Ovis aries: one gene and its partners. Each later gene encodes a partner of the first gene's protein in a complex. Links are inferred from orthologs where the notes say so. Each region holds a gene or a part of one and is shown in the gene's direction. Other genes may lie near its edges. The genes, in order: XAB2, PRPF19 and PPIE.

Region 1 (4,159 bases):
CCTCTGTAGGGACAAAGTCATAGATGGAGTCACAAGCCAAAAGCCTCCAGAGCCCCGCATCCAGGGCGGGGTCGGCTCAGGGGAGGCTGACCCTGCTCCCTCATACCCTTCCCCACCCCTTGGAATGAACTGATGCCCACCTTGCGCTGTATGACATAGTCCTCAAACCACTCGGCCTGATTGGCAATCCAGAACATAGCCACAGGGAAGGTGAGGTAGATGGTCATCTGGAAGGGAAGGGGAGGGATGAGTAGTCAGGAATTACCATCCCCGCCTCCACCCCTACTGTACAGCGGCTGCTCAGAGTCGGGAAAACCATCCTCTGGCCGAGACCAGAGGTGTTTCCTCAGGACCCTCCAGAACCCCAAAACTCCCAGCAAGGGTGCAGAAGTCACACACCTTGAAGTCTAGTCCCCAGAATCCAAGAGTCACCCCCCACCTCGAAAGCCCCCTCCGAGTCTAAAAGACTCTTTCTCAAAGAAAGACAGACATATTGGCCCCGGGGCAGAAGAACTCGTACAATAAAGGCATCTCTCTGAGACCTCAAACCACCCCCAGCGAGATTCCAGAGCGCCCTCAGACCCAGAACTCATTCTTCGGAGTCTAGGAGTCGGTCTAGGAGAAAGACGCACACCCACTGTAAACCAGAGAGCTCCGCCAGAGCCTGAAGTCTTCCTTCTTAGAGCCTCCTTCCCAGGTCACATCTCTCAGAGGGCTTTCCTCACACCTGCCCTCCCAGAGCCCCCAACCCAGAGCCCCCAACCCAGAGCCCCCTCCTCTACGTCTCCAACTGTAAAGGTCCCTTTCAAATCAATGGAGCTTTCGCCCCAGAGCCCCTCTCTCGGAGGCCTCCCTTTTGAGCCTTCTCCTCATCCAGGAAGAACCCCGCGCCCAGCCTTCCGACCGCTCCATTGCTCACTGACCCGAAACACCTCAAGCTTCACCCCCATGTTCCTCCTCTTAGGCTTCACAGCCGCTTCCGCCCAAAGCCAACAGCCCAACAAGACAGTAGGTCATTGGGAGTCGGCGGGCTCCACTGCTAAAGTTGATTGGTCCAAGTAGCTTCGTGATGACGTCATCTTAGAGCGCTCGCCTCTGCTTCCGGTAGCTGGGGTGGTCGAACGGAAAGTCAACAACACCTGGCGCATGATCGGGAAGAGTTCAGCCAATGGGAAATTAGTTTGGGTCGAGAGAGCAGGCCTTTAGGCCTAGACGTCATCATACCGCGACTCCTGTCCGTACCTGGAGAGCCTGGAAAATGGTGGTGATGGCGCGGCTCTCGAGGCCCGAGCGACCGGACCTTGTCTTCGTGAGTCCGCGGCGGGCCGGGGGTGGCATTCATAGGGGCACCGGGGGTTAGATACCTCAGGGGATTGGGGCTTGGCCACTTGGGGTATTTAGGCTAAAACTGTGCCGGTCTGAGAGCAGGAGGACCCTTACGGGCCGAAGACCGGCTCGTGATGTCTGGACCAGGCTGGTCAGGAGCAAAGATCTGGTGCCGGAGCCCAGGTGACCTCAGTAAAGAGCAAATGGTCGAAGTTAAGGGGCTGGCATCCCGGATCTGGGGCGGAAATGGGAGCGCGCGGGGTGTGGGCGGGAACGGAAATTCCTATAGCTAAACTTTGAGAGGCCTGGTGTTTGAAGTAAAAGTATGGTGACTAGTCCAGGTTTCATTGGTAAAATCTAAATGTTCCGGGTAACGGTCCAGGTCTGGTCCTGAGCGTTGTAGTTTCTGGGATAAAGGCATGGTGTCTGGACCGGGAGAGTCTTGGGAAAAGAAGTAAAGACCTGGTTATGTGGAGCTGAGTGGGCGACGGCCAGTAGAATCCTGGAGAGTCAGTCTTGGTGTTTGGAGTAGAGGCGTGGCATTTTCACTAGATTTATTCTTGATGTCTCGAGTTAAAGGCTAGGGAACTTGTCCATACCTTTCTTCCTGAGATAAGGATCTAGCTTCCAACTTCTGGGGGAGAGTTGAGCTAAACTGGCTGGTGGGAGCCTGAGATGCCAAAGGTCTGGTGTCTGGGGAGTCATGCTCTGAGGAGGTAAGACTTGGTGACTAGGGCGGAGGCCTAGCGTTGGACCAGAACCTTGGTGTCTGTAGAGTCTGGTGACCTGGGCCAGAAAGTGGATAGCTTGATTCGGAAGGCCAAGAGAGTGATATCTGGGTGATAGTTTCATGCCTGGCCTGGAACCCGGTGACCGAGGAGTCTGATAGTCTGGGTCACGTTGTAGGTCATCAGATTCTGAGAGGTAGAAATCTGGTCCATAGTCCTGGTATCCAGGTGACTGGGCTCCAGGGGTGAGCAGTGGCATTTGGGACCTGGGTCGGGGTCCCAGTAGGAGTGGTGCTGTGCGCAGGCTCTGAGAGCAGGTCTGTCCCTTCTCCACACCCCGGCCCTGGCAGGAGGAAGAGGACCTCCCCTATGAGGAGGAGATCATGCGGAACCAGTTCTCCGTCAAGTGCTGGCTCCGCTACATCGAGTTCAAGCAGGGGGCCCCCAAGCCCAGGCTCAATCAGCTGTATGAGCGGGCGCTCAAGCTGCTGCCCTGCAGGTGAGATTGGCAGCAGCTGCCCTGCCTGCCCCCGCCCCCTGCCCCACCCTATCTTATCCCATCACACCAGAACTGGCTAGTAGGTCCCAGGTCCCTCTTAGGTGTTGTGTCAGCGAGTAGACATCCCAGGAATTGCCGAGCACACCTTCCCTGATGTCCTGGCCATTCTCCCCAGGCCCCTGCTCCTAGCACTTGTCTCATAGGGCAGAGGGAAGGGTCCTGGGAGTCCATAAAAGCTGACCAGTCACTGCCCCTCCCTCCAACTCCCAGCTACAAACTCTGGTACCGCTACCTGAAGGCCCGCCGGGCGCAGGTGAAGCATCGCTGTGTGACCGACCCCGCCTATGAAGATGTCAACAACTGCCATGAGAGGGCCTTTGTGTTCATGCACAAGGTGGGGAGGGGGCATGGCTGGGCCAGGGAATGAGTAGGGAGGTGGGGCTCAGAGTCCATGGAGGTGGACAGAGCAGGGGTGGGAATTCTGTGACCTTTGTGCATGCCGGGCTGAGTGAGATTTAGTTCCAGGGCCACTGTGGTTCTGGGTCCTGCTGCAGGGGACATCCAGCATCCTGGGGCCCAGTGGTGAGGCTGGCAGCTCAGCCCCTCCTCTCCCTACCCCTCCAGATGCCCCGGCTGTGGCTGGATTACTGCCAGTTCCTAATGGACCAGGGACGTGTCACGCACACACGCCGAACTTTTGACCGGGCCCTCCGGGCATTGCCCATCACCCAGCACTCTCGTATTTGGCCCCTGTACCTGCGCTTCCTGCGCTCACACCCCCTGCCTGAGACTGCCGTGCGGGGCTACCGGCGCTTCCTCAAGGTGAGCCCCCTAAAAGGGCAAGATGGGGCCAGGTTCAGGCAGGTGGGCCAGTACCCTAGGTCAGGACTTTCCAAAAACGCGCTCACTGGGGGCACCGTCTGCCCTGACAGACAGGAAGTGGGAACATGGCTCGTGGAGACACACAGGGTTTTATTTGTGAGTTCTGTGTTCAATTTCCAGAGAGTTTGTGAGCAACCGCTCTACGTCAGGCATTGGGATACAGGTTCTGAGGATAGCGTGGCTAAGACAGTCCCTGCTTGCATGGAGTTTTCAGTCTCACCTGGCAGACAAATGCTTGTGACCTGACTGCGTAAACCAGAGTAAATCTGCAACCGTGAGAGGGCAGGGAACAGGAGATAAACACATAACAGGCAGGGCTGAGAGTCGAGGGGCAGATGGTATGGAGGCCTCCTGCGGTTTCCCCAGATTTATAGTCTCTAATGCATCGTGAAGTCCTTGGTGCAGTGCTGTTTTAGGTAGGGGGCTTATGATGAAAGCAAGGCCTGGTCTGTGCAGGCTGGACTGCTGGTGTCTAACCCAGACCAGCGAGGGCTGGACCTGGACTGGAGAGGGCTGGGGCTGAGACTGGAAGTGCAGCACTAGCTCCTGCCCAGGACAGTGGTGGGGGGCTGACCCGAGGTGGGGTGGCCCTGTGGCCCCACTGACGGCCGGTGGTGTGTGGGTGCCCAGCTGAGCCCCGAAAGCGCTGAGGAGTATATCGAGTACCTCAAGTCAAGCGACCGGCTGGACGAGGCGGCGCAGCGCCTGGCCACCGTGGTGAACG
Region 2 (4,207 bases), on another chromosome or scaffold:
ATTAAATGATTATAGCGGGACTTCCCTGGTGGTCCATTGGTTAAGAATCCACCTGCCAATGCCAGGGACACAGGTTTAATCCCGGGTTCCTAAAGATCCCACCTGCCAAGGGGCAACTAAGTCTGCGCTCTGCAACTAGGGAAGCCACTGTAATGAGAGTCCACACACCATAACAAAGAGTAACCCCTGCTTACTGCAACTAGAGAAAGCCCTCTCACATCAGTGAAGACCCAGCGCAACCAAAAATAAATAATAAGTTCTTCGAAATAAATTATTATAGCTATCCCAGAGGGACTCAGAGGAAAATTACAGGGTGCTGTGGGGACTAAAATTCAGTCAGGGGTCAAGAAAAGAGACTCCAGAGGAAGTGCTATTTAGGGTGAGATTGGATTTACTTTGGAAAGGATGGGAGGGGTGGGGAGAAGGGCAGGGATTGAGGAAAGTGTTCCAGGTGAAGGATCTGGAACCAGAGTGGATAAGTTTGAGGGCTTGAAAGGCCAGTGTGTCCAAGAAGCAGATGACTTGCCCAAAATCACAGAGCAAATTGGTAGTAGGGGCAAGACCAGAAGAGTTTCTTAGCCAGTGTTAGCTTCTCTACCCATGTGTATCTTCGTCTTCACTGGGTCTTCCAAAGCTAATCCTCTGAGAAACACTTGCCAGAGAAACACATGGGGCACGAACTGAAAATGCAGACTCTCTAAATGAGACCCCAGAAAAATGCATTTTTAAAAGTTCCTTAAGAAATTCTTACAGAAACTAACATAACATTGTAAAACAATTATCCTCCAATTAAAAATAAATTAAAAATTTGAAAATAGAATAAAAAATTATGGAGTACTCAAAAATAGACATAAAATATGCAAAACCACTATGGACAATAATATAAAACTATACTGAAAAAATATTACAGAAGACCGCTTCCCTGGTGGCTCAGACGGTAAAGTGTCTGCCTGCAGACAGGGAGCCCCGGGTTCGATCCCTCGGTTGGGAAGATACCCTGGAGAAGGAAATGGCAACCCACTCCAGTACTCTTGCATGGAAAATTGGGTGGACTGAGGAGCCTGATAGACTACAGTCCATGGGGTTGCAAAGAGTCGGACACGACTGAGCGACTTCACTTCACTTCAAGTAAATCAAAGTATACCATGCTCACGAAATAAAAGACTAATAGCATTAAAAATAAAAAAAAATTCTCATATACTCCAATATTTGCAAGACAGTCGTTCCACCGCCCCTGGCTCAAGAGTGCAGCTAAATTGATTGGCTTTAAGGTCCCAGTGCATTAAGGGAAATGTAGTTTCGAATCTCCTCTCCCAGCCATTGGAGCTTTACGAAACTAGCCGAGAGGGCCCGGAAATAGCCGAGTATTTCCTGGCGCGCCCTTTCCTGCCTGATTGCATTATGGGAAAGGACAGTTTCCGTTAAATTCTGGAGGCTGAGGCGCGCGACTGGCCACAGTCCCACGTGAAGCCATTCGCAAGCATCGCTCCGCGGGGCAGCTCCCCGCTCGCAGCGGAGCGTCTGGAAGCAGCGAGGGAACTGGAAGTGTCCCGCGGGGGCCCAGTAGCTGATCCCGGAGTCCAGTGTGAGGAGCCTCGGAGTGCAGCGAGGGCGCCATGTCTCTGATCTGCTCTAGTGAGTATCGGCTGCGGCCGCTCGCGGGGCGCTGGAGGCCGGAGAGCTGAGCGTGAGGATCTGCGCGCCTCTGCGGCGCCGGGGTCGGGGCTGGACCTGAAAAACGGGGCTCCGGGGAGGCAGGGCGGCGGCCTGTCAGCCCGGGGGGGTCTTCCTCCTCCAGCGTGAGGTCAGTTTGCGCAGCGCTTCATAGTTTACATAACGTCTCCGGTGCATTCTCGCAGGCTGCACAGAGGCAGCCCATCTCGTTTGCGCAGTGGATATGAGGCTTGGATAGCGGGGAGCTGGTGGTGCAGGGGAAAGAGCTCTCTGTAGGAAGCAGGAAGCCAGAGGGCTTGTGCAGGATCCGCCTCCAGCTGGCTTTGTGATCTGGCTCCGGGATGCGGTCCTCAGTTTCCCCAACTGCAAAAATAATGGCCTTGGCACTGGATGTGTTGTCTGAGGCCCCGCTTGGGTAGGCAGCGCTTCTGCAGTTTGCGAAGATCGCACAGTGAGTTGGAGGCGGTGACAGGCCTGGGAGCCAGACCAGCCTCACCCTGTAGGGCTGATGAAAACAGCTGCACATTTGGAAAAGCCTCTGTTGGTTTACAGCGTGCTTGCAAAACTGCAGAGTCGTTCTGTCCCCACAGCAATTCTCCAAAGCAGAAATAAAGATCCGGTTTTACAGATAAGGATGTAAGGTTCAAGGAGAAATGTGGCTTTTGTAAAACAGTACAGCTAGTTAGTGGCAGAGCTGTGTGACGAAGCCAGTTTCTCTGATCCTGAATCCATGCTTTTTTCAAATGCTTTGTCCTGTCTTTTGGATATGTTATTGAGGAGAGTGGTTGTTCATCAGGTTATTAGTTTCTCATTCTTTTCTCTCTCGGCTTCCTAACTCTCGAGCTCTTGACTCTTCTCAGAACCTCCCCATAAATCCAAAATAAAGGAGAGAAAGAGTGAAGGGAAATGTGACTAGAAAAAGAGTCCTTAAGCGTTAAAGAAATGACAGTGTGCAGAGTATTTTCACATTCATTGTTTCAGTCCTGAGGAAGGTCTTTTCAGTATCCATCAGCTGGTCTGTTAGATGTTTCCTGAGCATTTGCCAAGCACCTGCATTGTACTGGAAGTCAGAGAGCAGCTACAGTCCCAATCCTCAGGGATGTAAATGGATACTTCTGTTGGGGAGTGGTGAGGATGATTTCATCAATGGAAAGTGTTTACAGTGGAGCTTGGCGCCTAGTAAACACCATGTAAATACTTTGTTATCATAGCACTTGTCACATCGGTTTGTAATGTGTCCGAGAATCCATCTAGGTCCTAGTCTGAGACTTGAATGGCTTTGTGTGTATCTTCTTGTCCTGCTATATAATGGGTGCCTAAGCGTTTTTGTTCAGAAATGAGATGGGCAGGAATTATTGACTGCTCCCTAGGTGCCTAGCATTTAGTAGTTGTGCAGCAATTATTTGTTGACTACCTAACTGTCAGAGACTGATGGAGAAGCTAGTTAAGTGGCTGGAAAGCATTGTGGGTACAGTCCAAAACTGGCTTGGTGTCATGTCTTGATTCCTGTTAGCTGAGTGTAGGGAGCAAGGTCTTGTGGAGGCCAGCCGAAGGTGAAGCGTCCCCTTGGCCCAGGGTCCCTGTCACCACCCCAGGCTCACCACCTGCCTTTTCTCCGCAGTCTCCAATGAAGTGCCAGAACACCCCTGTGTGTCCCCCGTCTCTAATCATGTGTATGAGCGGCGGCTCATTGAGAAGTATATTGCAGAGAATGGCACAGATCCCATCAACAACCAGCCTCTGTCCGAGGAGCAGCTCATTGATATCAAAGGTGCCTGCTGGCCAGCCCCAGTCCAGGCTGTCCTAGCCTAAAGCCTGGGAAGGTGGGAAGGGTGGCGGGTGCATAGCATGTGGGAGCCAGGGGAGGAAACGGTGGTCTGTTAGTGCTGAAGGGGAAAGAAAGAATGTGGGAGGGCCAGCATGCCCTAGGTCATGGGTTTTCACACCCACTTTGTCTCTCTTGGCAGTTGCTCACCCAATCCGGCCCAAGCCTCCCTCAGCCACCAGCATCCCAGCCATTCTGAAAGCCTTGCAGGATGAGTGGGTGAGTCCCCGAAGAGAATTTATATTTTCGCGACTTGAAAAGAAGGGATCACTGGACTAGGACATGGGTGGGGATGGGAGGGATGGAGCCTTATTTTCTGTTTTGAGGGGAGGGTGAGAGCAGAGAAGCCTGGTTCTTAATGTCACACAGATCTGGGCTCCACCCTTTGCTCCGTTGCCCACTTGCCACGTCCCTTGGCAAGTATCCAAGTGCTACTTTTCCTGACCATATTGCATGGATTAGTACCTGTCTCAGGGTTTACAGAGACTCAGAGTAAAATTAGAGTATGAGCTTCATGGTGTCAGGGACTTGTTTTACTCATTAGAGCCCCAGCAGTGAGAACCAGGTTCACAGCAGGTGCTCTAAATATGAATGAGTCAAAGACTGCATCTTGAGGACTGCCTGGCTCAGTGCCTGACGCAATGAGAGCAGTCAATAAACAGCAGCTGTAGTGTTTTTATTCCTTTCTGGTGAGGTGACGGCATGACG
Region 3 (3,643 bases), on another chromosome or scaffold:
CCTTGAGTGCAGAGGTTAAGATTTGATTGGCTTTGGTAAAGAATGCTGCTTTTCTCACCAGTCTATGTCCAGTGCAGGATACAGCATGCTTGGGGCTGGTGCACGGGGATGACCCAGAGGGATGTTGTGGGGAGGGAGGTGGGAGGGGGGTTCATGTTTGGGAACTCATGTACACCCGTGGTGGATCCGTGTCAATGTATGGCAAAACCAATACAGTATTGTAAAGTAAAATAAAGTAAAAAATAAAATTTTAAAAAAAAAAATAAAAAGAATGCTGCTTTTAAAGATTAAAAGTATAGTTCGTTATTTAGTTATGTTCACTACAAAACGGGCTTCTATGGTGGCTCAGATAGTAAAGAATCCTCCTGCAGTGCGGGATAATTTCCTGGGTTTGATCCTTGGGTTAGGAAGATCCCCTGGAGAAAGTAAAGGCTACCCACTCCAGTATTCGAGCCTGGAGAATTCAATGGACAGAGGAGCCTGGCAGGCTACAGTCCGTGGGTTCACAAAGAGGCGGACACAACTGAGTGACTTTCACTCACTACAGAACAGTGTAATGTTGCTTGAAATGTTATTTAAACTAGAAAGTATCAGAGTAAGATGCGTTTTTCCTAAATAGTGATGGTGTAGAATTCTAGTAAATGGATAAGGCATGTGACTGACTTCACTTTCTTTGTGACCACCTACTTCCCATTGCCCAACATGATAATTGCTTGATATTGTCTGCCTTTTTTCAGAAAAGCACCGAGGATTTGCTTTTGTGGAATTTGAGTTGGCAGAGGTGAGAAAATTCTGTTATCTATGTTAAGTCTTTGGCTTGTTATTATTGTTACTGATTACAAAGGGAGCTGTTCTTCATTTGGGGTTGGGTTTTGGGGCCTCATGCTGATGCTTCCGGAGAGATGAGAAACACTGTTTGAAGGAAAGCTGCCTTCACTTAATGAAACCATGGGCTGTGATTAACATTACAGACCTGCTAGGTCCTGCCCCTCTTGCTCTGCAGAAACTCCTGCAGCCCTGCTCATTGAGCATCTTTGCCTGGTAGCACTGGTGATACTTTCTTTGTCTTCCACTAAATGGCAAATAGCTGAAGTCAGCCAGGAAGTGCACTTTGTTAGACCCGTGCAACCTAGGTGAGGAAGAAAAAGAGACCTTTTTCTGTTGGATTGTTTTTTTGTTGTCATTTTACCAAGTATGTGTTTAGACACTACAAGAAGCATTTGACTGCAAACCTAAATTCGTACCTTGTCTTTTTTTGGCAGGATGCTGCAGCAGCTATTGACAACATGGTAAGGCTGGGAATCCTGCTTCTTACAGAAGTTGCTTTTTGGTGATACAGAGGGCACTTAGTTCTACATTCGGTTTGCCAAACCTCCAAAGTTACAAGGTTGCATGAGGAAGTACATACAAATTGTCATCGTGTGAAAATATTCACTGTGAATTGATCACTTATGAAATTGTCCTTTCTCAGATATCTTTCTCCGTTTGATAATAACGTAAAGGCTAATCATCCTTGTTGACCAGTCACTCACTGGCTGCCTATGTCTAGGTTAAGAAATTGCAAACAATGCAAAATAATTGCACAGTGAAATTGCATATTTTACAAAAGTGACAGGGTTGCATGAAGTGTTAGACCGGTTAACAGTTGAGAAGAGAAATTTGATAAGGATGATAGGATGTGCTGCTGATCCAAGTGATTGGGACAGCCTGGAGGGCTCCTTGGGGCAATGATGCAGCTCTGGAGTGTGTGTTCCCTCTTCAGGATACTTAGGATTTTCACATCAGATAAGAAATGCAAAGATAATCATACTGTTGATAGGATTTTATTGGAAAAAATACTGCAGATGTATAAACATCCATTATATGTCTGTTCTTCAAATTAGGCCATAGTTTAAAAGCTGAATTTTAAGTATAAGAAATTTATTTTCATTAATTAGTTTCATCACAGTACATTCCCAATTTTTTCCCCCTTCACATTTTAAACCATGAAATTTTCTTCACTGTCATTAAGTCATTTCACATTGAGTGACCTTTACTGGTACCAGTTATCTTAGGGTAATGAGGCTTTACTTCATTCCTGTTCTCTGTTTCCCATTCATCAAATGTTTTCCTCAGCTCTCAGAGCGAGATCACTTCTCATTGCTCAAGGCTGACCTTGACTTTTGAAAATGAACTCAGGTACTTGGAAATTGCATTTATCCTTATAATTTCCGAGTACTCTGAACACAGCATCACTTTTGTTAGCAGAGGTCATTATTAGTATTGAAAGAAAGGAGGTCAGATACTACTGCATATAAACTAGATATACAACAAGGTCCTACTGTATAGCACAGGGAACCTGTTATTTAATATCTTCTAATAACCTATAATGGGAGAATAACCTATCTTCTAATAACCTATAATATTTTCTAATCTATAATAATATCTTCTAATAACCTATAATGGAGAAGAATCTGACATATATATATATAATGTATAACTGAATCAGTTCACTGTACACCCAAAACATTGTAAATCAACTATGCTTAAATTTTAAAAAAGAAAGGGACTTCCCTAGTGGCCCAGGGGTTCAGAATCCGCCTTGTTGTGCAGAGGATGCAGATTCAGTCCCTGATCAAGGAATTAAGATCCCACATTCCATGGAGCAACTAAGCCTGTACTGCAGCTAGAGAGTCCATGGGCCACAACAGAGACCTCATGTGCTGCACCTAAGACTCAATGCAGCCAAATAAGGAACTAATAAATTTGAAGGAAAGGAGAAAGGAACTGTATGATGGCTCCCAGGAGGAAATTCTCTGCAGCCCACAGGCTGTTTTGTGGCACGTGCATAACTTGCTGTTAGGGGATCAGGGATTAAGGGAGAACAAATCATGAGTTTGTCTCATGCATCAGAAGTAAATGGAAAGTGTCTGACTTTCTTTTAACCTAACAGTTTAAGCAAATGGATTTTCACACTTTTCAGAATGAATCTGAGCTCTTTGGACGGACAATTCGTGTCAATTTGGCAAAACCCATGAGGATTAAGGAAGGCTCTTCTAGACCAGGTGAGTGGGAGTAATACAGATGCCCCATCACACCCTCCAGTTTGGCCTTGCTTGCCTTCCTGTCCCAGTTTTCTTGAAAGGAGGCACTGAATGCTTCTCTGGCAGACAGTAGTAGAGAATGGTTTACATTGGCAAAGGACATGTGCCACTTTTGTGGGGAAATAAAGAGTGTGAGCTTCTCAGCCACACCAGGGTAATTGTTTCCTTTATGAGAGAAGCCATGCCTGATCTCTCATCTGTCCCAGTTTTCTCAACATTCCTGGCAGGTTCCATCAGGGGCTGGGACTGGCAAGGGCTGCACCTTTCTCTGGGGCATAGCCTTTTCATGTTGCCCTGCTAAGAGCTTGGAGAAGGAAATAGCAACCTACTCTAGTATTCTTGCCTAGCGAATCCCATGGACAGAGGAGCCTGGGAGGCTATAGTCCATGGGGTCGCAAAGAGTCAGACACGACTAAGCGACTAACACACACAAGAGCTGGGCTTCAGGGCTGGCAGTCTCTAAAAGATGGGAGCTTGCCTGACACATGTGACTTCCCAAAGTGGAGACCTCTGGCCGAGAGGGTCACAAAGTATGTTCTGCTTCGCTGATCAGAGTACCT

The links.
Region 2: XAB2 (region 1) and PRPF19 share a complex: the UniProt entries of both Homo sapiens proteins name them as parts of the XAB2 complex. The link is inferred for Ovis aries from reciprocal best matches to the Homo sapiens genes XAB2 and PRPF19.
Region 3: XAB2 (region 1) and PPIE share a complex: the UniProt entries of both Homo sapiens proteins name them as parts of the XAB2 complex. The link is inferred for Ovis aries from reciprocal best matches to the Homo sapiens genes XAB2 and PPIE.

What each region holds. Positions count from the first base shown.
Region 1 is NC_056058.1:14,202,332-14,206,490, reverse strand, and holds the start of XAB2 (pre-mRNA-splicing factor SYF1), read left to right. Parts: upstream 1-1,238; 5' UTR 1,239-1,258; coding exon 1,259-1,309; intron 1,310-2,404; coding exon 2,405-2,553; intron 2,554-2,823; coding exon 2,824-2,947; intron 2,948-3,177; coding exon 3,178-3,375; intron 3,376-4,065; coding exon 4,066-4,159. Other genes in the region: protein PET100 homolog, mitochondrial, read right to left, coding at 1-3, 141-227, 924-950. UniProt on the Homo sapiens protein: Involved in pre-mRNA splicing as component of the spliceosome. Involved in transcription-coupled repair (TCR), transcription and pre-mRNA splicing.
Region 2 is NC_056074.1:34,605,899-34,610,105, reverse strand, and holds the start of PRPF19 (pre-mRNA-processing factor 19), read left to right. Parts: upstream 1-1,396; 5' UTR 1,397-1,616; coding exon 1,617-1,635; intron 1,636-3,295; coding exon 3,296-3,445; intron 3,446-3,641; coding exon 3,642-3,718; intron 3,719-4,207. UniProt on the Homo sapiens protein: Ubiquitin-protein ligase which is a core component of several complexes mainly involved pre-mRNA splicing and DNA repair. Required for pre-mRNA splicing as component of the spliceosome.
Region 3 is NC_056054.1:14,378,265-14,381,907, forward strand, and holds part of PPIE (peptidyl-prolyl cis-trans isomerase E), read left to right. Parts: intron 1-737; coding exon 738-781; intron 782-1,262; coding exon 1,263-1,289; intron 1,290-2,962; coding exon 2,963-3,044; intron 3,045-3,643. UniProt on the Homo sapiens protein: Involved in pre-mRNA splicing as component of the spliceosome. Combines RNA-binding and PPIase activities.